Astyanax mexicanus: one gene and its partners. The protein of the gene in region 2 purifies or fractionates together with the protein of the main gene of each other region. This does not show direct contact. Links are inferred from orthologs where the notes say so. Each region holds a gene or a part of one and is shown on either strand. Other genes may lie near its edges. The genes, in order: polr2h, polr3e and si:ch211-140b10.6.

The links.
Region 1: the proteins of polr3e (region 2) and polr2h purify together in Homo sapiens (affinity purification with mass spectrometry; 3 studies listed by BioGRID and IntAct, with this or other methods). This does not show direct contact. The link is inferred for Astyanax mexicanus from reciprocal best matches to the Homo sapiens genes POLR3E and POLR2H.
Region 3: the proteins of polr3e (region 2) and si:ch211-140b10.6 purify together in Homo sapiens (affinity purification with mass spectrometry; 3 studies listed by BioGRID and IntAct, with this or other methods). This does not show direct contact. The link is inferred for Astyanax mexicanus from reciprocal best matches to the Homo sapiens genes POLR3E and POLR1D.

The regions. Positions count from the first base shown.
Region 1 is NC_064423.1:25,660,991-25,668,675, reverse strand, and holds polr2h (DNA-directed RNA polymerases I, II, and III subunit RPABC3), read left to right. Parts: upstream 1-3,381; 5' UTR 3,382-3,565; intron 3,566-4,813; 5' UTR 4,814-4,851; coding exon 4,852-4,924; intron 4,925-5,092; coding exon 5,093-5,176; intron 5,177-5,908; coding exon 5,909-6,002; intron 6,003-6,206; coding exon 6,207-6,290; intron 6,291-7,171; coding exon 7,172-7,289; 3' UTR 7,290-7,425; downstream 7,426-7,685. Other genes in the region: lisH domain-containing protein ARMC9, read right to left, coding at 1-5, 419-544, 828-902. UniProt on the Homo sapiens protein: DNA-dependent RNA polymerase catalyzes the transcription of DNA into RNA using the four ribonucleoside triphosphates as substrates.
Region 2 is NC_064422.1:28,327,105-28,334,789, reverse strand, and holds the start of polr3e (DNA-directed RNA polymerase III subunit RPC5), read left to right. Parts: upstream 1-2,517; 5' UTR 2,518-2,669; intron 2,670-6,680; 5' UTR 6,681-6,776; coding exon 6,777-6,815; intron 6,816-6,923; coding exon 6,924-6,974; intron 6,975-7,089; coding exon 7,090-7,167; intron 7,168-7,263; coding exon 7,264-7,379; intron 7,380-7,543; coding exon 7,544-7,626; intron 7,627-7,685. UniProt on the Homo sapiens protein: DNA-dependent RNA polymerase catalyzes the transcription of DNA into RNA using the four ribonucleoside triphosphates as substrates.
Region 3 is NC_064408.1:96,428,710-96,436,394, forward strand, and holds the start of si:ch211-140b10.6 (protein POLR1D-like), read left to right. Parts: upstream 1-3,354; 5' UTR 3,355-3,451; coding exon 3,452-3,483; intron 3,484-5,729; coding exon 5,730-5,804; intron 5,805-7,685.

The DNA of each region.
Region 1 (7,685 bases), on a different chromosome or scaffold from region 2:
TCCTTCTGCAGACAAAACACATTTTAAGAAGTTAATTTATTGTATTTTACTGCAACAATGAAACTCTGTGTTACTAACAAAACGTGATCTGGTCATTATCAAGTCATAAGGATAGACAAATACTATCTAAAACTATACTGAAAACCCATATAGCTCTATGGTACATGTTTCTTTAATTCAGCACATTGATTGAACATTCATGTTAGAAGGCTAGAAAAAGTGACCACCAAACCCAGCAAATCCACCAAATGTTTAATTCAGCTCTAAATAACTTTTACGGAATTTCAAACCATTCCTCCCTGTAAATGTGTTTTAGATCATCAATATTTCATGGACATCTTGCTTTTCAAATGTACTGACATTTCACACTATGAAACACTCTCCCAGCACTCTAGCAATGTTTCAGAATTAGCCTTACCTGGATGATTAGGATTTTGGAGTCTACAGGAGGGCTGCTTGGTGTTTTTGGCACAGGTTTTCCTTTGCTCTTGCATTCCTTCTCAAAGATCTTCACCGTATCCTCAAACTCAGAGAACTTCAGGTACTGAAAATAATCAATTTTACATTGAGCATATGCTTTTGCTTATGAAATGGCTATGAAAATCATCAACATACAGAGCATGCAATCAGAATTCATATGTGTCAAGCTTAATATAAAAGAAATGTGAAGTCCAATGCTGCAAACTAAAGGGGTTATAGGGTCAAATAAATTTAAAAATGTGAATCAAATGCAGACATTTTAGTGTGGTAGCCCATCAAAAACCTCTGCATTGGTAAGTGACCATCCAGTCATCCATTTGAACAATCTAACATGCAGACAGACTGACCTCTTTTATCATTAAAAGGAGATCTGCTTCATTTGCCAGAATGTCCCCCATCTCTTGAGCCTTTCTGGAAGTCATGTATCCTCAACCTGCAAAAGAAGAGACAGTGATCAATCATTTAGCTCACTTATCAGTTAAATACATAACTGTCCTACTTCAACACACCATTGTATGAAGAGTATGCTGATAAACTGCATGAAACTATTTGGGAGATTTTTATTGTTTGGCAACTTTTTTCAGACTCTTGTTTATTGTTTTGATAACAAGCTGATTTTTTGAATCACCCATGCGTTATCAAGAGGGCCCTTACAAATGTGACATAGTTTTGCCCAAAATCAACAAATAGTAGTGCATTTCAAAAAAATAGAATCATTAAAAAGTTGCTTTATTTCAGTAATTCAGTTTGAAATGTGAACCTCATATATTATATAGATGTGATACACACACAGTGATCTGTTTATTTTACTGTTGATGATTATGGCTTACAGCCAATGAACACCCAAAAGTCAGTGTCAGTTTTGGCAGTGTGCCAGGTCCTGCTGAAAAATGAATCCGCATCTTTATAAAAGTTGTCAGCAGAGGGAAGAAGCATGAAGTGCTGTAATATTTTCTGGGAAAACAACTGCACTTTAGACTTGATGAAAAAAAAAAAAAATGGTTTCCAACACTAGCAGATGACATAGCTCCCCAAACCATCACTAATTGTGGAAACTTCACACTAGACCTCAAGCTGTTTGAACTGTGTGCCTCTCCACTCTTTCTACAGACTTTGGTCTCTTTATTTCCAAATGAAATGGGTTGGAGAGGACTTGGCACATGGATGGATGGATGGATGGATATTGTGTCTTTAGGAAAACTGATGTCAGCCACACAGAAAGTGCAAATACACAGTTATATAATAATTTAAATTTAGCAGTGCAAAAGATACGTAAACAGTAGATGAGTGAACTAGTGAATGAACTACTAGTGCAAAATAGGGTAGAACTATAAAAATATTATTATAGGCATTAGTAAGTCTAAAAGTGTGTCCATAGCTGAGTGTGTGTCCATAGCTGAGAGTGTGTCCATAGCTGAGAGTGTGTCCATAGCTGAGAGTGTGTCCATAGCTGAGGGTGTGGCCATGGTGTGGCCAGAGTTACCAGAATGAAAAGAAAAAAATACAAATTTCCTGAGACATCGATTTTCTTTTTCTGAAAGCCATAATCATCAAAAGTAAAAGACAAACGTTTAAAATAGACCACTCTGTGTGTAATACATTTCTATATAAGCTTAACATTTTGAACTGAACTACTGAAATAAAGTACATTTTCAATGATATTCTGATTTTCTAGGTGCACTAAAATACTAAGAACATAAAAAGGCACATGTATGTCTTTATTTCTTCACATATACATATTTTTATTTATGGTCCACTTCTATGACTCACTGTGTTGGAAGATTGTATATAAAAACAAAAGTGATAAATAAATACATAAAAATATAAGAATTTAATGAAATGGTGTAATAACCAAAATATGTTTTTTTGCCTGAGGATAACACTGCCATAGAGAGATAAACTGCTCTGTGTCTGCAAACGAGAGATATAAGCTGTATTACCTCAGCTTTTAAGGTTTAGGTTCTCCACTTTCTTGGAAATAGGAGGATAAACCCTTGCCTCCATGAATTTTTAACAACCACGTGGATACAATCCAAATGCAGCAAGATAAGATTAAAAGAGCATCCTCACATTTTAGGCACAGTTTGATGGTAAGTCTCGAAAATGTAGTCTTGCATTTTATTTTTCAGCATAAGAACAGAAAAAGAACCAAAACCAACAATACTAGCTTGTGTTAACTACCAAACTACAGCCATCGACATAAATACTAGTGAGTTTAAGTAACCCAGCTGGCCAGTTTAACCAGTTTAAACAGTTTAGCAGCGCCTTCTTAGATAGCTTATGTTGTTTTTGAAATAGATAACATGCTAGCAAATTAGTGTAATATAACGTTTAGAGCTCAGTAAAGCGTGTAACAAACTCCACACTCTGAAAGAAAGCATTAAAAGCATTAGCTGCACTGTTAGCTTAGCCCCTATGCTCATAGGTAAATAAACACCGCGCGGCACTCACCTCAGTCAAAAACACCCTTAAATGCAATAAAAATATCACTACTCATTTCTCAAAGTGAAAAATGTCCTTATATTATAAAACGGAAGGGTTAAAAAGCCAGAAAATGTTTGCGCAGGTCCGTAAAAGCAGCGAGTGGAGTTTAGCTTAGCCTAGCCTCACAGGCGCTGGTGCTGTTAGTCACTATAGTAACAGCTTTTGGGACGCTCTACACCTGGCAACACCATCCGGCAAGAGGATGTAAGTGTCGTGAGGATTTGTAGTTTTTGTCCGAGGTGATGTAGTCCAAGCCAGAGTTCGGAGACAGCATTATTATTATTGTTTTGTGTTAAATTACACAAAGATTAAATTTTATTGGAGCTGCAATAATAATAACGATAATAAGTAAATAAATAATAATTAAAAAATATATACAAATATTTAAAATGTATGTGTAAATAAAAAATGCTTTCGGCGCCACCGGAAGTACACGTGAAGCCGTAAAGAATCAACAGTAAGGCGCGTGTTCCGCTGGAGTTCAGTAATAAATGAATGAAACCTGTTATCAGAGGTTTAATTTAGTAGAAATTCACGCGGATTATCGCCGTGTCTGAACGCGTTTCAACATATTTGGTGACTAAAGCGCATCAGCTTAAAAGTAAGTGACTTTTAAAGACTATTTTTTTTTTACCTAAACCAAGCAGAACTGAAGGGAAATACCGGCGAAGCTAGCTTAGCTAGCTTGCTAGGGTGCTAACTAACGTGTTTAGAGGAACCAGTGTTTAGCTAACGTTACATTCATCCATAAACCAAGAGTCCCCGTGTGTTTCAGACTGAATCAAACAGCGTTAATTAACACATAAAACGAGTGGGTAAATATAACCTATGTAGTAATTTAAATAAAAGTCTGGGGTTAAGTTCATGTCCAGGGTTTTATATCTAGCTAGGTTTGTTAACCTGGGCAGCCAACTATCTGGCTATCTATTTACCTGTTTTCTTCTTTGGAGTTAGTGGTAAAGTGAACGACTTATAAAGAGTTTTTTTATCCATCCAAAACAAGCTGAACTACAGTAAAATGTTGGCTAAGCTAGGTTAGCTAGCTAAGATTCTAGCTAACTTGTTTAGAGTAACGTTACAGGAACCAGTGTTTACTTTTATCCATAAACCAAGAGCCTAAGTATTGATTTAGCCTGAATCAACAACCATTAATTGATATATGAATAAGACTAGGCAAATATAACCCATATAGTGATTTAATTGAAGGTCTGGGATTAAATGGCTAAATTCATGTCCATAGTTACATATCTAGTTAGGCTAGCTAACCACGGCAGCCAGCCAGCTAGCTACTAACATGTTTTCCTCTTTGGCGATAGTGTTAAAGTAAGTGACTTATAATAAGCAGTTTGTAGATATCGAAAAACAAGCAGAACTGCAGGGAAATGTTGGCTAAGCTAGGTTAGCTATCTAAGATTGTAGTTAATGTGTTTCCTAGTTACTTTTGTGTCCAAAATTTCCCCTCGGGGATCAATAAAGTATATAGCTATCTAGCTATCTATCTAGCTAGCTAGCTACAGTACATGACATGTTTACATTCATCCATAAACCAAGAGCCTGATTGTGTTTCAGACTGAAACAAATAATCAGTTAATAAATTAATAAGAGTGGGTAGATGTATAGGGGGCTGTATATGGTGGTTTAAATAAAGTGCTGGGGTTGAATGGTGAAGTTCCTTTCCGTGAAGTTTACTAGTTATATAGTTAGCTAACTATACTGAGCAGTCAACTGGCTAGCTTCCTGCTTTCTCGTTTACCTCTTTGTAGATGATCTTATGTGTCTTAAAGTTGGTTAGATGTTGATTTATATGTTAACTAACCAGTACAGCTGTGTGTGTGTTTTTTTTTATCAGAGTGAGCTTCCTGGGCAGATCAGCAGTGGTCTGTAGAGATGGCTGGAATTCTGTTTGAAGATATTTTTGATGTGAAAGATATCGACCCAGATGGGAAGAAGTTTGACAGAGGTGAGACCAACCTGCAGCAAATCCTAATTTTAACCCATTTATCGTTTGTTAGTGATGCTCCAGTATGGGAATTGTGACAAAACAAACAGTTCTTGTAGAAACTGTGAGTTAATCCATCTGGATCACAAACACACAGAGATAATGCTAATTTTATCTGTTCTCTTCCAGTGTCTCGGCTTCACTGTGAGAGTGAGTCTTTTAAAATGGACCTCATCCTGGATGTGAATACTCAGATCTATCCTGTTGATCTTGGTAAGGGAGACGTGTTGTTGTTGTGGCCCAAAATGTGACTAGATGTGTTGAATGACATTTTCATTTCCTAAATGGGCCACGTCAATTTGTGGTATTAAATTGCTATACATATCTAATGCATGGCAATGTGGCACTATATAAACATATAGACTGAAATTAATGTGACTTTTACAGCAATGTATAGGAAAAAGGACTGAGAGTAATGGCTGTGAGTAGATTAAAATAAAATGGAATGCAGCAGTGATTTAAGGGCTTAATTGGCAGATAAACTAGGTAACAGATCTAGTATCTGAACTTATGTTTGTAATAATATTGGAAGACCCAGGTAGCAGCCACACCGTGTTCCTAATGAATTGGCCAAACATGGCTGCAGAAAGCAGCTGCAGCGTAGAAGGAAAAAAAATCTAAATAAATTAAAATTTAACCGTCCTTTTTTTAGGAAGGCTCCAGTGAATTTTCAGCTATAAACCAACAGCCTGAACTATAGCTCCTGAAATACTGACTGGGATTAAAGTGAAACTTAACATGAAGCATTGCTCTGTGGTGCATGCGTGTCTCTTATAAAACGCAAACCGTTTAGACAGAGTCGGATATGGGTAACATAAATAAATAAATAAATAAATAATTAAATGAAAGTAGTGTGTGAACATTTACACACCTGTTCTGTGGGAGTAAAGGAACATGTTTAATAATCTTAAATAAGTTAAATAATATATTGTATCTTTATTTCAGGGGACAAATTCAGATTGGTAATAGCTAGCACACTGTACGAAGATGGCACTCCAGATGATGGAGAATACAACCCTCAAGACGACAGACCATCCAGGTAAAACCTGTTTACATATTAGTATCATTTTACTGTACATAACAATATATGGTATTTGTTTTATTAAATTAGTCTTCTGCAAAAAAAAAAAAAATAATAATAAGTTGGCAGAAAGAAATGTTTAATAAATGATTACCAATAAATGCATACTCTGTGCTGAAATGATTACTTTTTAAATGTTAAGTCTGTGTTCTTTTTCTCCAGGGCGGATCAGTTTGATTATGTGATGTATGGCAAAGTATATAAAATTGAAGGTGATGAGACTTCAACAGAAGCAGCTACACGACTGTAAGTGTCAAGTGTCATTATTGTCATCTTTCTGTTTCCTATAAAGTTACACATACTTAAGAATATATTTACAATCATACAAATGTTTGGCACCCCAAAATGCGACATATAGTTGATTTCTTAAGTGTTCATTAGTTTACATATCAAGAAACCATCCTGCACATTTTAATGCATTTTAAGTTCTGTGTAAAAATATTTTCTTTCATGTTATTTTGAAACTTTTTCATTTATCACATTCACACAGCAGCTGCATGCATAACACACAGATATGCAATATTTTGCTGTTATAGCAAAACCTATCTACAAAAAAAACTATCTACCTGCAAGGTCCTATTAGGAAAATAAATGTTTATGCATCAAAAACACCACAATTGTCCAAACTCTCTATATAAAAATTAAGCAGACTATGCATTTAAGAGTCAGATACGTTTGGCTGCCTTGTGTTCTTTGTCTACAGCAGTCTTTTTGAATGTAAAAAAAAGCAGGGAAAACGTTCTACGCTGAATTCATTAATATAAATGTATATCCAATTGCCTTTGTGACATCACAAAAACTGAATTTAGAACAGGCTTAGTTTACCGACTTGGAAACTAGCAACTAGCTATTTTTACACACTAAATCCATACTATTGCTCTTTTATTTCAGAAAATGAGAGAAACATTCAAATTCCATTATATGGCCAAATAAATATATGTATTTGTAATATGTTTTATTTTAAGTCTCATTGGCCCCGTTCTATTGGTCTATTCTTGAAATACTCTCACAATTTGAAAGGCAGCTGATCTTTTTAACTATTGTGAGTTAAGCAGTATGAATGGTAGTGGTGACATGAAAATCTTCTAATCCTCCTTCTTTACCTTTCTTTATTCTGTTTTCCACAGCTCAGCTTATGTATCATATGGTGGTCTACTCATGCGACTACAGGGGGATGCCAACAATCTGCATGGATTCGAGGTGGACTCAAGGGTCTATTTACTCATGAAAAAGCTTGCATTCTAACAAAATTTGCCTTATGCTGCCCTGAGGAACGATATTGCTCTCTAGTGGAAGAACGATGGACACTCAACACTTAGGATTTTTTTTAAGCTGGTGAAAAATAACATCAAAATTATGTAAATAAAACGTTTTATATGTATTTGTTTGACTTGTGTTTATTGAATGTTGGATTATTGGATACATTATGTTTTAGAAGAACAGTGATATGTAATTGAAACTGCTACTATTACTACTAAATTTTATACATTATATTATAATTTAATGTAATTATTATTTACTGATATTATTTTGGTGATCAGACATATATTCATTTACACATAAATAAAAATATAAACATAATTCTAAAAATAAACACATTCAATAATTTGTAAAAGCATTGTTAGCTGATATGTTATCCAT
Region 2 (7,685 bases):
AAACTTTTATTGATTGTTACATTTGTCACAATGTCAAGATACAATAGTGATACAGTGGTATACATTTATACATTTAAATGTTAAATGCAAGACACATTGTAAAACAATATAAATAATCATTTAGAGTCTTTAGGGTGCTGCCAGATGGAGATTCAGAGGAAATGTTATTATTAGTAGTAGGACTAGGATTCATTTTGATTATTAAGATACTTTTGATCGTAGACTGTGTGTTAAAACTGGCCTGCAGCCACAAATATTCACGTATGTATGACCAATAGCGAATTAAACCTCTCATGTTACAAAGTGACAGAAGCGGGAATCGAACCCACGCCGCCGGATTCATATCCCATAGGAACCAATGCAATATAAAACGTGTCGATTTCTTATGCTTAGAAACGCACATATGTCTTTCTAATGACAAAAATCAAAGTACAATCCTCCTTTCTTCTCATTTTTTCCCCTATTTTCTTTCTTTTTCCTTTTTTTCTCTCTTTTTTCTCTTTTTCCTTCTTCCCCCTTCTTCCCCTTCTTCTACAGACTATTGTTCCCCAGCTTTCGTCAGACGGATCAGCTGTTTGTTTGTTTCTCTGCTGCAAAGTTGGGAAAACCACTTTCGAAGCAGCGACTATTCCACTGGCTGGTGGAGGTTATTCAAGGGGCCTACAGGGCTGCAGATCGTCCCCTATCTGCCCCGACTACAGGACATTCTGTTCGAGGTATCGCCACATCCTGGGCTGCGCTTTGAGGAGTGTCTCTACTGGAGATTTGTGCAGCAGCCACATGGTCGTCACCATGCACATTTTCTCTTTTCTACAGTATGAATGTGGCAGCCGCTGAGGGCTTATCTACGGCGGTTCTGTCCGGAGTCTCCTCGTGACATCGCTGGTATGCTTTATCCACATTAAGCACCGCCCTGGCGGTCAGGAACTATGAAACATAACATTAGTTACGTATGTAACTGTGGTTATGTGAATAGTGGATGACCGCCAGGGTTCTTGGTCACTCGGATTGCAAGAAGAACCAGGACTTGAGGAGGAGCAGCGAGTGCCAGGGGGTATTATACCCCTGCATGCGTCACACGCTGTGTCACGTGAGTGACTTCGTTGGTATACTACTCTCGGTTTGCCGTGGGCACGGCAGTGATACATTCACATTAAGCACCGCCCTGGCCGTCATCCACTATTCACATGACCACAGTTACGTACGTAACTAGCGTTTTAGAACTGCAATTTGAGTGTAAAGCAGGAACTGTGCTTGTAGTTTAGTAGAACAGGTTCAGGGGATCGGTGCCTAAGTTACATGTTGTGGTCTATGTGTCTCATGCACCAATATTTTTGTGCAAATTATCGAGAAAAACTGTAATTCCATTTTTATTTGCGTTTTTAGCATTTAGCTCTATTCATCTTTTTAATTACTCTTTTTAATTACTCCCGGACTCCCCCCTCGCGGTTGTCAGTAATTTAATTATGTATGAAGTGTAATATGAAGTGGGCATGCTCTCCATAAACAGGCTCTGAACCGATGAAGCCGGCCAGCAGAGTTGCCAGGTTTCTGCTTTTCCCACCAAATTGTGCTTGTTTGAAAATCTAGTTGCGGGGTGGCGGGGTGCTTTTGTATAGGCTACTTTCAAATTACAACATTAAAAACCAGTAGAACATAACGACATGAACAGCGGGAAAAGGAGAGAAGGAGGAAGAGAGAGAGACAGAGAGAGAGAGAGGGAGAGAGAGAGAAATCACTACGTAACCAGAAATCACAAAACGATCAAAAAATTGTTAAAGGGCGAGAGAAGTGAGTTCAGTAGAGGCAAGAACTGAAATGAGAAAGAAAAGGTTTTTTTTTGCTAATTATGTTACTGTTAAATGTTCTTGACTGGGATATAAACCTGCTATAAAAGAACTAATAAAACACTAATGTTACAATATTATGAATTACTTTAAGATAAATAGCAATACATCCCAATAAACAATGTTGTATAAACTACGGAGAACATTTCTCCCAAATTCCAAATAAAAATATTGTCATTTAGAGTATTGTTTGCAGAAAATGGGCAATAGCTGAAATAACAAAACAGATGCAGAGCTTTCAGACCTCAAATTATGCAAAAAAAAAAAAAAAAAAAAAAAAACAGGTTCATATTTATAAAGTTTCAAGAGTTCAGAAATCAATATTTGGTGCAATAACCAAATATTGTTTTTCATGCATCTTCACATGTTTTCCTTCACCAGTCTTACACACTGCTTTTGTACTTTTTGTGCCTGGTGCAAAAATTCAATCAGTTCAGCTTGGTTTGATGACTTGTTGATCATTCATCTTCCCCCTAGATTATATTCCAGAGGTTTTCAATTTGATAAAATCCAAGAAATCCATATTTTAAGTGGCCCAGAGCTGTATATTAAACACGGGCTAGTTTAAGCTTTCGAATGGAGGATTTTAGACTGACTTTGGGCTGGGTAATTGTATTGGACCTGGCAACTCTGCCGGCCTGACTGTGCATTGCATCATGGGAAGAGACAAAGCACACAGCTCCTCCCCACGTGTCTGTCTGTAGGAAGCCCTGGAATCAGCAACATGGAAGTAGAGCGCAGATTCTGACAAATTCACCCCGCTCAGCTCTACTCCCAGACCGGGGAAGCTTCTTCCGGTCCGGTTCTCCTAGTGAATCTCAGGTCGGGATTTATTCTTTATCTATTAATAAAGTCTTATATTGTTTCGGGAACTGAGGCCTGGAAACGTGATTGTTGTATTGTAGCTACTATGGACTGAGCTACAGCGTTAGCTAACCTAACCTAGCTCACTAACGCTAGCTCCCTGGCTAAACTTAGAGCTGTAGCTGGAAAGTCTAGTTGTTAGCTTGGTTATTCTTTAATTGACGATAAACGTGTTGAATTGTTCTGAAATGTAGCTAACAGGGGTAACATGGCTACCTGTAATTCGAGATTAATGTGTTTGAAAATACCCACCACCCTGTTTGTTGGGATACATGCATGTAGACACGAGTGACAGATGCAGGAGTGAAGGAGAGAGCTCGACTCACCATGGACAGTAGTGTGAAAACGTCTTTTATGAGGCCCATTATGAGTAACTTACAATCATAAAAATGCATTTATTGTGTGATCAGTTCATATAGCCTTAGCTAACTACTCAAAAACGTCCAGTCTAGCTACAGATCAGATCCTGACGTGTGCACGTGTTCTGGTATCTGTGAATTAAATTCTAAGATAACTAAAGCAGCCTGTCTAACGTTAAATGGGAATGAACGTGTAGTTTCGTTCTGTTATCAGTTGTATTAACTATTTACAAATGATTTTAAATGGTCACAAAATATCTAGATCCCCTTTATGTTGTTATGTAGTTCTTATGTGGCTGATTAGCTACAGGAGATCTTTCAAAGTGAATCTTCTGCTCTTTATGATGTTGGCTGTTATCTAACTCTTACTTTAGCCTACTTAGTTATGCTTAAATGTGTTAGTCATGCAGAGTAGACATGGGTGTGGATGTAAAAGACTTTAAGACACAGTAGCAGCCAAACATGTGGACACATCTTCTCATTCCATGTTTTTCCTTCTTCTTGTTCTCTTCTTTTACTTCTTTTCTAAAATGTAGATTAATATTAAACTATACTGTAGAATTCTGTGATTAATCATGATTAATCACAAAGTTTCTTCTTTTAGACTAAGCTGTTGATAATAGGTATTCAAATGTGAAAAAATAAATCAGTGTTAAACACTTAGATTTGTGTTATTGGTGCCAATCCCTACACATAATTGTATTATTCATAGCAATATTGTATATGGATAAAATAATGATTGCATTTCTTTTTAATAACAAATAGGTTTAATGGCAAAAAATTCAAGGAGTCACAGAGACTTTGTCATTCACATCACATGTGGTACATGAGGTGGAACAAAATTGTATTCTCATGATCCAGTTACACCCAAAAGAGCAATTGTTTAAAATGATAAATATAAGACAAAATAAAAAAGAAAAATATATAAATATAAATACACAAAATAGGGAGAGTATGCAAGTAGCAGCAACATTAAGTCCAGAGTGCAAGTTGTGCTATAGCAGCTTGATGGTGTGAATGAAGAGCAATAACATGATTGTGTCTCAGTGAGAGTGTGAAGTGACAGTGTTGTTTTAATATGTAAATGTCCTTGTAAAGTGTCAGTGTGTTGACTAGGTGGAGTTTAAGAGTCTTACAGCAAAATCAACGCTAGTCTAGCTTCATATTCCACCTTCAACAGCTTGAAAAAGATGAAACGTGCTGTCAGCTTTGAGTGTGCATGTGAATGGTTGATTGATAGATAGATAGATAGATAGATAGATAGATAGATAGATAGATAGATAGATAGATAGATAGATATAATAACACGACAAAACAAATAAAGAACACATGGAATTACATAGTAAACAGTAAAAAGTGTTTGTTCTCCTCAATCTCCGGACCTAAACACAAATTATGGGTAATTTGTGATGAGCTGGAGCTTCACAGTGTGAAGGAAAAGCAGCAATTATTGTTCAGCACCTCCAGAAACTCCTTCAATATGCTGAGAAAACTATTCCAGGTGACTCTCCCTCGTGAGAAAATACGAACAGTGTGCAGATCTGTCCTCAAAGCTGAATGTGTCTACTTATAAGAATCTAAAGTATAAAACATATATTCTGGGTTTTTTAACACTTTTGTTTACTATTTAGAGTTATCCATGTTTTTGTATAGCTTTAATGACTTCAATATTCATTTTACAGTTAATTATATAGTATATTCTAGCATGCCAAAAAATACACCAGCAGCCGTAGTTTCTTAAAAACTGTTATTTCAATTAATCAGGGCTAATTACTTTTTATGATAGTTGGTATGGTATGGTAGTTGGTATTAGTGTCCTTTAAGCATCGAGGATATCTATGATTTCACGGAGAAAGTGAATTGAATACAAATTTCATGATATGATGTATAGTACGTTTCTATTTCCCACCCCTTATACAGAATAGTTTGATTTAAAATGCTAAAGTTCTACAAAACAGAGTAAACGCTCATTCTGGTGGTAAAATGTTCCAGGTGTAGACGCTGGCTAGTTTTTACCGCTTCCATAACAAAAAGAATAGGGCTTGTATGGTTAGGCCAACTAGAAACAAGCTGGTTTTGTGTGTGGGTTCCATGTTGGCATTACATATAGATAGTGCTCAGAGTCAGTGATGTGCCCAGGAAAGCATAACAATGGGGGCCCTATATGGGTTTAACACTGTGCACTGGGGCCTACGCTGGACACCTGTGGGACTCAGGACATTTTCACACCTGAAAGCCCAGACCAGAGTCTGCACTAATCTTCATGTCTTTGTTCGGTTGTATACATATGTTCTGGATAATTTTTGTTTCACGCTGCAGTTTAATGAGCGGAATAAAGAATTTTTTACTACACCCAGTCGATATCAGCTACATCTACGTGAGCTGCTTCTCTATATACTGCATATTAATTGCCAGGTGTTGTGACAAAATCTAGCTCTCTGTCAGAATCCGATTTCCCTTTGCGGACACATGCGCATCCATAGCAGCAGAAAGAGTGTAAAAGATTGTCCTCAGATTCCTTTTATTTCTGTTTTTAAATGAGGCTCGATCTACTGTTAAGTCAATGAATTACCAGTCTAAGCGTTAATCTGGTTTGTTTAAAGACTGCCTCAACTTTCTGTAATTGGTCTGAAAGTTTGAACACTGCAGATAAACCGGACCATGGTTCAGTCGATGGTTCAGTCTTTTTGTTCTGGACTGTGGTTCACAGCTTATGTCAAACCTGCTGTTTTGTTTCGGACGCAAACTGAAAAGTTTAAACAACTAGACCAAACAAAGCGAGTGTAAAAGCACCTTAAGGTGCTTGTAATGATGTGGCCTGTATTGGAAGCCCAACTTGGTCTTGACTTCACCATAACCACAGACTCGTGTGCTCTCTCTTTCCCCCCGACAAAGGTTGCTAGGAACCTGGGTGTTATGGTTGATGACCAGCAGTTGCTTGATCCTGCCGCTATGCACTTTACCACATCAGACAAATTTGACCGTTTCTATCACAACAGGCCACCGAACTCCTGGTACAACCAGTGATCGTCTCGTGCCTCGATTAGTGCAATGCCATACTAACGGGCCTCCTGGCCTGTGTTTTAAAATCACAGCAGCACGTCTGGTCTTCAACCAGCCAAAACGGGCACATTTCACCCCACTGCTCATTGAGCTCCATTGGCTACCAGTTGCTGCTCGTATCAAATTCAAAGCTCTTACAATCGCCTACAAGGTGATGACAGAACAGCTCCTTCCTACCTGCACTCACTCCTGAAGGCTTACGCTACCTCCCGGCCGCTGCGCTCCTCCAATTTGGCTTTGCTAAACATTCACACAAAGCAATCCAGACTGTTATCATACAGAGTTCCACAATGGTGCAACAAACCTTCTTCTACTACCAGATCAGGAGCGTCCCTCCCTATTTTTAAGAGACTCCTTTTCTCCTTTCACCCACTATTTCCTTTTAACCTCCTTTAGGCCCTGTCTAAACAAGTTTTTTTACCTTGAAGTTCTATTATTCTAATAAAATCCAGGCCAAACAAGCAATGTGTTAAAGCCCATTAAATAAAAGACATGCCACAAACATTTTTTGCCTAAATCTCTATTATTTTTGTATTTATGTTTACAGCCTTTGCATGGTTTGCTGTGACCAGCTCATCAGTTCTGTATTTCCTGGTTCGGAGTTCATAAGCCTGAGGCAAAGTTTCCTCCTCGTCCTTTAACAATGGCCAGCGGAGAGGAGGATGACCCGATTATACAAGAGGTACGTGTTTGACCCTCAGTGTTTGTATAAACATGCATTGCTGCGCTTAAACCTGCCAGAGACACACAGACATGATGATCTTATTTGCTTTTTCTTTATTGTTTGAAGATTGACGTTTATCTTGCCAAAAGCCTCGCAGACAAGCTGTATTTATTCCAGGTAAGATTGATGAATTTCTTCTGATCCATTTGAAACTGATTGTGATGTTTGGTTTTGATGTGTGAGCTTGGAGTAGTTGAATGATGAATGAAATATGAAATTTCTCCTCTTACAGTATCCTGTGCGCCCTGCCACTATGAACTATGATGATACAACTCATTTATCTGCCAAAATTAAACCTAAGCAGCAAAAGGTCAGATTTCTTCAATAGTTTTGAAGAGATTTTGAAATGAATTTAATTTAAGATATAATTCAGATCACACTTTGTTCTCTACATTTCTGTGCTCAGGTTGAACTTGAGGTGGCCATTGAAACCATGAGTCCCAACTATTGCCGCAGCAAAGGAGAGCAGATCGCTCTCAATGTGGATGGAACATCAATTGAAGAGTCCAGCACTTATTCCACGTATGTAACTTACTTCACTTACGTATTTGAGGAATAGTGGAATTAATTTGCTATTACACTTATTATATTAGAAATCCTCTTTTATTTTTAAATTCCTCTTGTCCAAACCTTTTGGATTTTGATTCTAAATGTGGCACATGTTCTTTCTCCACTTTCTCCCAAAGGAAAATGATGGATAAGCAAACATTCTCATCCATTCAGGCAACTACCAATACAACTCGCTATGCTGCTGCAGTGTTTCGTAAAGGTAATTATCTGCAGTCACTCTGAATCAATCTGTGAGCACTGAGTTGTGTAAAGCCTGTC
Region 3 (7,685 bases), on a different chromosome or scaffold from region 2:
CAGAGCACGGCCTTGAGCACGCTTCATCTCGGGCACATTGTTGTAAATGAAGAGCCACCAATGCACTTAACTCTCGTCCTATTTTAAACAGTGGACGGCACAGCGAGGGATTCCGTTACATAAGCGAACGGGAACATTAAATGGCCTTTGGGTGCCATCCAGGAGAAATTATCTGTACTCTTTTTGTCTCAGGCAGCACTTTCTTCTCGCAGGAGTGTATGGATGAGGCTGAGCAACAGTCACGGCTTCAAGGCCGCTCTGTTTTCACTGTGTCTCTTTGTTTGCCATCAACTCTGGACTATCAGGATAATGTATCTTCTTACACAGTACAGTATCACAACATGCCCTTGACTGATTAAAAGGAAATATCATCAGTCTTTCAAAATATCTGTATTATTACACTGTTATGAAGTGGTGACTTGATGAAGGGGCTCAATCATGGTGAATAAAACCCTATGTCTTAACACTTCTAAAACCTGCATTACAAAATATTATAACACAAAATCTTGAATGGGTTCAAATACATTGTTTTATACATCTGTAATAAGACTTTGGCCTAAAACCTATTTTTGTATATGTTCATCTTCATCTTGCTGCACTCAGAAGAAATTAACCAACAGGAATAAAATATGGTGGGTAGTCATGCCAGACTGCTGTCTTGGTGAAGACAACCAACAAATCCATGTAAGACACTGTGATTCACTGTCAGTCAGTGCCAAGGTCAATGGTTTACTGTCACGAGGCATACATCCAGAGGACCAGGTGTCATGGGCACCTAGTGTGGGGTGCAATTTCTTAAGATGCCAAATCACCTTTTGTCTTCATTACAGGCGTGTTAACAGTCCAGCGTTACTAGTATTAGTAAAATTCAGCAACCAGTGGTCCTGCTCTTTTCTGAAAGCACACTCTGGCACACTATATGTCCAACAGGACAATGCTCATACACACTGCTGCTGCTGTCTTAAGAGCTTGCCTTGAAGACACAGATACTATGCCATGGCCAGCCAGATTATCAGACTTCTCCCAGACTGAAAATGTATGGGACACTCCACCCAACCACCACAAAATCTGCAGGAACTGGGAGAGAATATTCATGCTGCATGAGATGGGTTATCGCATGCCACCATTAGGAACCTCTACAACTCCATGCAGAGAAGTCTGGCATGTTGTGATACACGTGGATAACAAACTAGTCTTGTATGTGTGTAGCCTAATTAATATGACAAATATTGACTGATATTGTTCATATCAGTCATTGCAACTTAACACTTCCTTCTGAGTGCAACTATTTTTATAACCACTTCTTTGATGATGAGGGTATGTACTGCTGTTTCACCATCATCATTCCATTAGGGATCTCATTTATATGAAACTCATTCACAAAAAAAAAACATTTGTATGTTCACTGGTGGCTTTAAATAGTGCAGAAATTTGTTATATTTGTGTTATAGACATAGTGACCCCATGGTGATCCAAGGCCATAAGTTACTATTAAAGATAGAGCATTTCAAACCACTCTGTATGACTTTGTTTACCTCTCAGTGATTCAATTATTCCCTTTCAGTTCAGGTTTCATTCTCTGAAGAGCATCGTTCATTGCCCTAAATCTACCCCAAAACCAGGTTGATCTAGGCAGAGAGCAGCAGTACGTAACATGCAGCCATTTCTGGAGAGTCGCCTAAAATGATGTGCAGATTGAAGGCTATTGTCTTAGTCAGCAGCAGAAACAGCATAATAAACCCTGACAGAATGATGACGCCTGACGTCACAAGCTCATTGGAGGCTGTGTGTTTGAGGGGGAATGGAGGATGTGTCACCAGTCACACACTCTCCATTCTCCCAAACACAGAGTCCATTCACTCAAGCACACAGCCTCACACACATTCCCCCTTAATGCAGAGGCAGCCTTTCCTCAATCACACAGTCTCTCCTAATGCAACATATTAGCTTCACTAACAAGCTCTGTCCTGGACATGCTAACCTGGTTAGCATCCATTTCATTTGCAATTTCATTCCATGTCCTTCACTCTACCAAACATAAAAAAACATATAGAGCATCCATCCTATAAACAAACAAAGCATGCATTCCCATATATACATAGCATCCATTCCCATAAACACACACAGACACACATACATAGCATGCATTCCCTTATACATGTAGCATCCACCCCCTAGCTTACCTATACAAAACACAGCATCCATCCCCATAAACACACAGCTTCATCAGCCAACCTACATACATCCCATTGGTCCCCCTAAAACAAAGCATGCACCCCCCTCTGAACAAAGCAGGCATCCCTATAAAAAAAACAAGGCACACACATGCTTTTTCAACCCGCATTCTCCACCAGTGCCCTAACACATATTATCAATACAGTCACTTAAATGCTCATAGCAATGCATCCCACCTCATCACCTAAACAAAAAGCATCCAGGAGCAGCAGCATCCCCCTAAACAAAAGCATCCCACTTACCCTAAACACACAGGCTGCACAGAGGCTGCATTCCTCAGCCACACACCTTCCTAATGCAATGTCTCATCTGAGAATGCTGCTGGCCAGCTTTATCCAGTTCAGACATGCTCTCAACTTCACCCTCATTCCCTTATACCACATCCTCGCATTAATGCACAGTTTTAACAGCACTGACAGCCTTTAAATCTACATTAGACATGCAGACATCCCACCCAGTTCACCCTCATTAATTACCCATTCAACCCCTAGCATCCATTCCCCCAAACACAACCTGCATTCTTCAATGCAACAGCCTCCATTCCTCCATCCTACATCATACCACCATACATCACCATACATCCTCCATTCTCACATCACAACCTCCATCCATCTATCCATCCCTCCATCCCTCCAATTAACCCTCAACAAAAGACAACAGTGTCCCTGTTCATCCTGCATCCTCCTACCTCTCTCCTCGTGCTCGTGCTCCAGTCACCTAGTAGTTCTCGGTCACATCCACCCCCAGCCCCCACGCTCAGCCGCCCCTTCGCCCCTCAGATCTCCCCCAGCAGGCTCCGTCCTTCTCGGCCATCAGTTGCGGCTCCTCTCCGCTGCTTCAGCTCACTCCAGCCTCTCTCTCCGGCTGTCGGTCTGACCAGCCAAATCGCGCCCTCTGCCCCGCCTGATCAAAACACGACCTACATGCTGGGTTTTGCCCTGTCACAGATCGTAATACGCATAATTACTATTTATTTCCCAAGTCTAGTCACACACATACACATTTCAGTCCAAAAATTAACTAATGTCATTGCTGTATTTAGAAACTGCACTACGATTCTCTACTATTTCAGCGCTCATTCGTTCAGGCACACAGCCGCTCAGCTATTGGTCCTAAATTGGGTCCTCACGGGTGAAAACAATTTGTAGTCTTTGTAGTCTCTAAGCAATAATAGAGGAATCGCTGTAACTGGAAGTTAAAATCGTCCGTCAGTGTGATGGATAAGGATACAGCCAGTGAGTTGGAGAGGTAGGTCGTTTAACAGACGATGTTAAGCTGTTTAAATGTGATTTAATCGGGGAAATGGGATTTTAATGCTGAGCGAAAGCAGTGTTAGCCTGTTAGCTTAACGTCTATTACTGCAGAACTGAACATGAAAACATTAACCTAGCTAGTTACCTGAATATTCAGGCTAATTCACTTACATCTGGTTTGATTACATGATTTAAATCGCATATTTTTGCAATAACGAAAACCTAATGGAGATGTTGGATCTCGAACTGATCTGTGTGGTGAATTTTAAGTGTAGCTAGTTAACGTTAACATAACGTAGGTTAGCTAACTAAGTTAATTAGCTTGCTTTGGCTTCATAACAGAGGTAAGTTAACTAGCTAAGCTACAAACTGATCACTTGACAGCAGGGCAGGGTTGCCAGGTCCAAGAAAAATATTCAGCCCAAACTCAGTCTAAAACCCGCCCTTCAGAAGCTTAAACTAGCCCAAAATATCTGTCTGTCACAGGATTGAAGCAAATGGCAAAACAACTATTAGTGTACGACTTAGTATTATGTTTATAAGGGGTTTATTATCCGTATTGCTATTTATCTTTAAGTCATTAATAATATTGTAACATTTATGATTTATTTGTTTTTTATAACAGTTTTATATCCCAGTTAAGAACATTTATCGGTAATAGTAACAAAATTAGCAAAAAATAAATAAAAATAGAACTGACTTTTATTTACTTATTTCTGTTCTTGCCCCCCCTGAACTCTCTTCTCTCCTCTATAACACTTTTTTCATTGCCAGTAACTGGTTAGCTACAAACTAGGGGTACACTGAATATTTTTTTGTTTGAAACTGTACAAAATGAAATATTTAGCTAAATATCAAACGTGTTTTAATTTGCAGGTATTCATTAATTTTACCACATTTTTAGCTATTGCATAATGCAATAGCTTAAAAGCATTTTTTCTATTGCAAATATTTTTTGTTTAAATTATGTGGTCTTATTTGGCTAAACACCCAAATAATTATTTTTTTCTCAATAATAATTTTGGTTGCAAAATATGCAACCTTTTTACATTCAAATACTGTATTTAATACACAGCACACACATTGACATTAAATATGATTGATGTGTTAAACAGTCAATGTTATTAGAAATGTAGATAGTTACTGCCTATTTAGAAAAAAAAAAGTAATTATGTGTGTAACATAGTGCAGCACAGTTGCGGTACACTAACAGTAGCAGATGAGAATTAGTGCCTGTTGCAGTTTGAAATAGCAAAGGCTTATTGTCCTAAAAACAGTTGTCTCCAAATGGTAAATTGGCAGTAGGGGAAAAGTATGAACATGTTCTTAGTATTTAATGTAACTTAATGTAAAAAGATTCTGTTCTGATAAATAAACAAAAAAATATATAAGTGTATAGAAATAAATGTTTTATTCAGCATTTTTTTGTACAATAATGCATATAATTGTGCAGTATATTCAGATAATATAATAAGAACATTATTTTAAAGTGGATTGGCACTATAAATATTCTATATGTACAGTTTAGTCTTACAGAAAACTGTTACCAACCTGGAGATCCTCTTTACAGCAGATATTGATTCCAAAACACATTCGATACACCAGACCCCTTTGTTGATCCTATTCAGTGATAACAAACACTGAAGGCAGCCTGTCCAAGCATTCTGAAAACATTAGAAGCTAAAGCTGGAGCAGAATAGGGCTGGACCTAAACTCTAAAGGGTTGATTACCACTGATTGGAGGAGGGTAGAGTAGCATAAACCCATACTTGAGTAGATGCATTAAACAGAATCAAAAGCAAAATACAACATTCTTACTGTATTAGCACAAAAATTATATTTTAATTGATAGAAATATTAATGGAAATTGAAATTAATTACGTCAAGTTTACCCAAAAAGTAAAAGTATTATCTAAAAAACACTCAGAGAAGGACAAATCAAAGCTGTGCTTGAGCACATGTAATTATTTAAATGTTATTAGTTACTCCTTTCCTCTGACACTGATACAGTGGGTGTGCTATGTGTGAGGAATGGACTGTGTTCTTGCCGCTGAGGCAGCAAGTTTCTCGGGCACCTGTTTTGTGAACTGCGGTCAAAGGGCAGCTGTGGACAGTTGGTGATGCCACTAAGAGGTGGTGACTCAGCTGCTGGACTGGGTCGCTGCAGGACACACACGTGCATTCATTTCCTGTTGTCTGTTTTATGGACACTGAAGAATTAATCCATTCTCCTCCTCACAGACGTGCAGTTGAAGAACTCCTGAAAGAGGCCAGTCGAGCCAAAGTACGGGCAGAGACCATGGGGCCAGCGGGGTGGTGAGTCATTGGTGTCTATAACCTGTTTTTATTAATTCTGATGGATTTTTTTTTTTTTCCATTAAATAGTATCATTTTACAAATGTTGAGCAACAGACAGGTAAAAAAATGAATGCAGAAGAAAAAGGAGCAAAATATACAAAAAATTGTGTGGATGCAGTCATCTTTACAGACAAAGATAGATAGGAGGAAGTGTCCGCATTCAATGCACACCTTGCAGAAAATCCAAAAAACATGTTTCAACAGTCGTGGGCTTAACATGGTAAATGTTAGCAGTGATACATTAAACTTTTTGTTTATTGAGTAAATAAACCAACCAAAATTGTTCCATGTGAAGTCCAGGTGTGATCCACTTTTATTGAATTGTCTTTTCAGCAGCAGTACATGAATTTCTATAGCTTTGTCTGAATAAAGCATAAAGCAGGGGTGGACAATATTTAATCGTATTCAGTTTTATTTAATACAACATTATCATCAATACACCCATACAGTGCAGTGTAAAGTTGTTAGGCTGCCTCTCAAGTGCAATGATAGAAATGGATAAAAGGGTACGTAGTAGTAGTAGTAGTAGTAGTAGTAGTAGTAGTAGTAGTAAGTAGTGTAAAGACGACAGCCAGAGCACAAAGAGAAGGCACAGGAACTGTAAATACAATAAATATGAATAAATATGTGTATAAGCAGGAACTGCAGCTCAGCCAGAGGGGGACAATTAAAGTGACATCGGTAATTACTTTACTAATCAATAAACGTTTGTCAAAATATGGTCTCTAAGTGATTGACAGCTTAGGTATTTAGGTTGTCTTAATTTGTGTAATTAGTAGTTTAAAATATATAAGATAAGTCAGAACTGTTGTGTAAATTATATTGCACTAAATGTTTGTAAACAGATCACAGATGTACGGTATATTAACAATTTGTACAGTGCATGTAAGCATTAGCAGCTTAGTGTTAATGAATACTAATTACATCATAAATGTTTATTAACTATTTATGTTCTTATTTTCTTTTTTATTTTAGCATAGATATAATTTCTATATCTATAACCCTAAACAATTGCCTTTACCATACGATGGAGAAATATAGGTCAATTCTACAAAACCTTTTTACAACCAGTGTGTAGTAACTGGTTAAAATGTGAAAATATTTGTTGCTGTATTGTGTTTTTTTTATTTTCTTCTAATACTTTTTCTTTTGAAAATCAAATGTATTTTATAACAATATATTATACAATCTGAGACTATTATAGCATACTATATTTATTGCATTCTAAAATCATAGCATAATATTCAGCTCTGGAAAAAAACAAGAGACCACTTAAAATGATGAGTTTCTTTGATTTTACCAAATTGAAAACCTCTGAAATATAATTAAGAGGAAGATGGATGATCACATGTCATCAAACCAAGCTGAACTGCTTGAATTTTTACACCAGCAGTGGCATAAAGTTATTCAAAAACAGTGTGTAAGACTGGTGGAGGAGAACATGCCAAGATGCATGTAAACTGTGATAAAACCAGGGTTATTCCACCAAATATTAATACTCTTAAAACTTTATAAATGTAAACTTATTTTCTTTGCATTATTTGAAGTCTGAAAGCTCTTCATCTTTTTTGTTGTTTTAGCCATTTCTCATTTTCTGCAAATAGATGCTCTAAATGACTATTTTTATTCGATAACACACTGTTTACAGTGTATCATTTTTCATATATTCTTTATCTCAAATATAATAAGCTTGAAATAACAGCATTTACGACTCAAGTACCTAGAGGTGTATAGTATCGGAGCTTTCTGTTGTAGCCGATATTGTGTGTAAGAGCAAGTATCGGTGCTAATACTGATGCAGTGTTGGTATACTCTTGTGAGTATGCTGACTACCGAGAG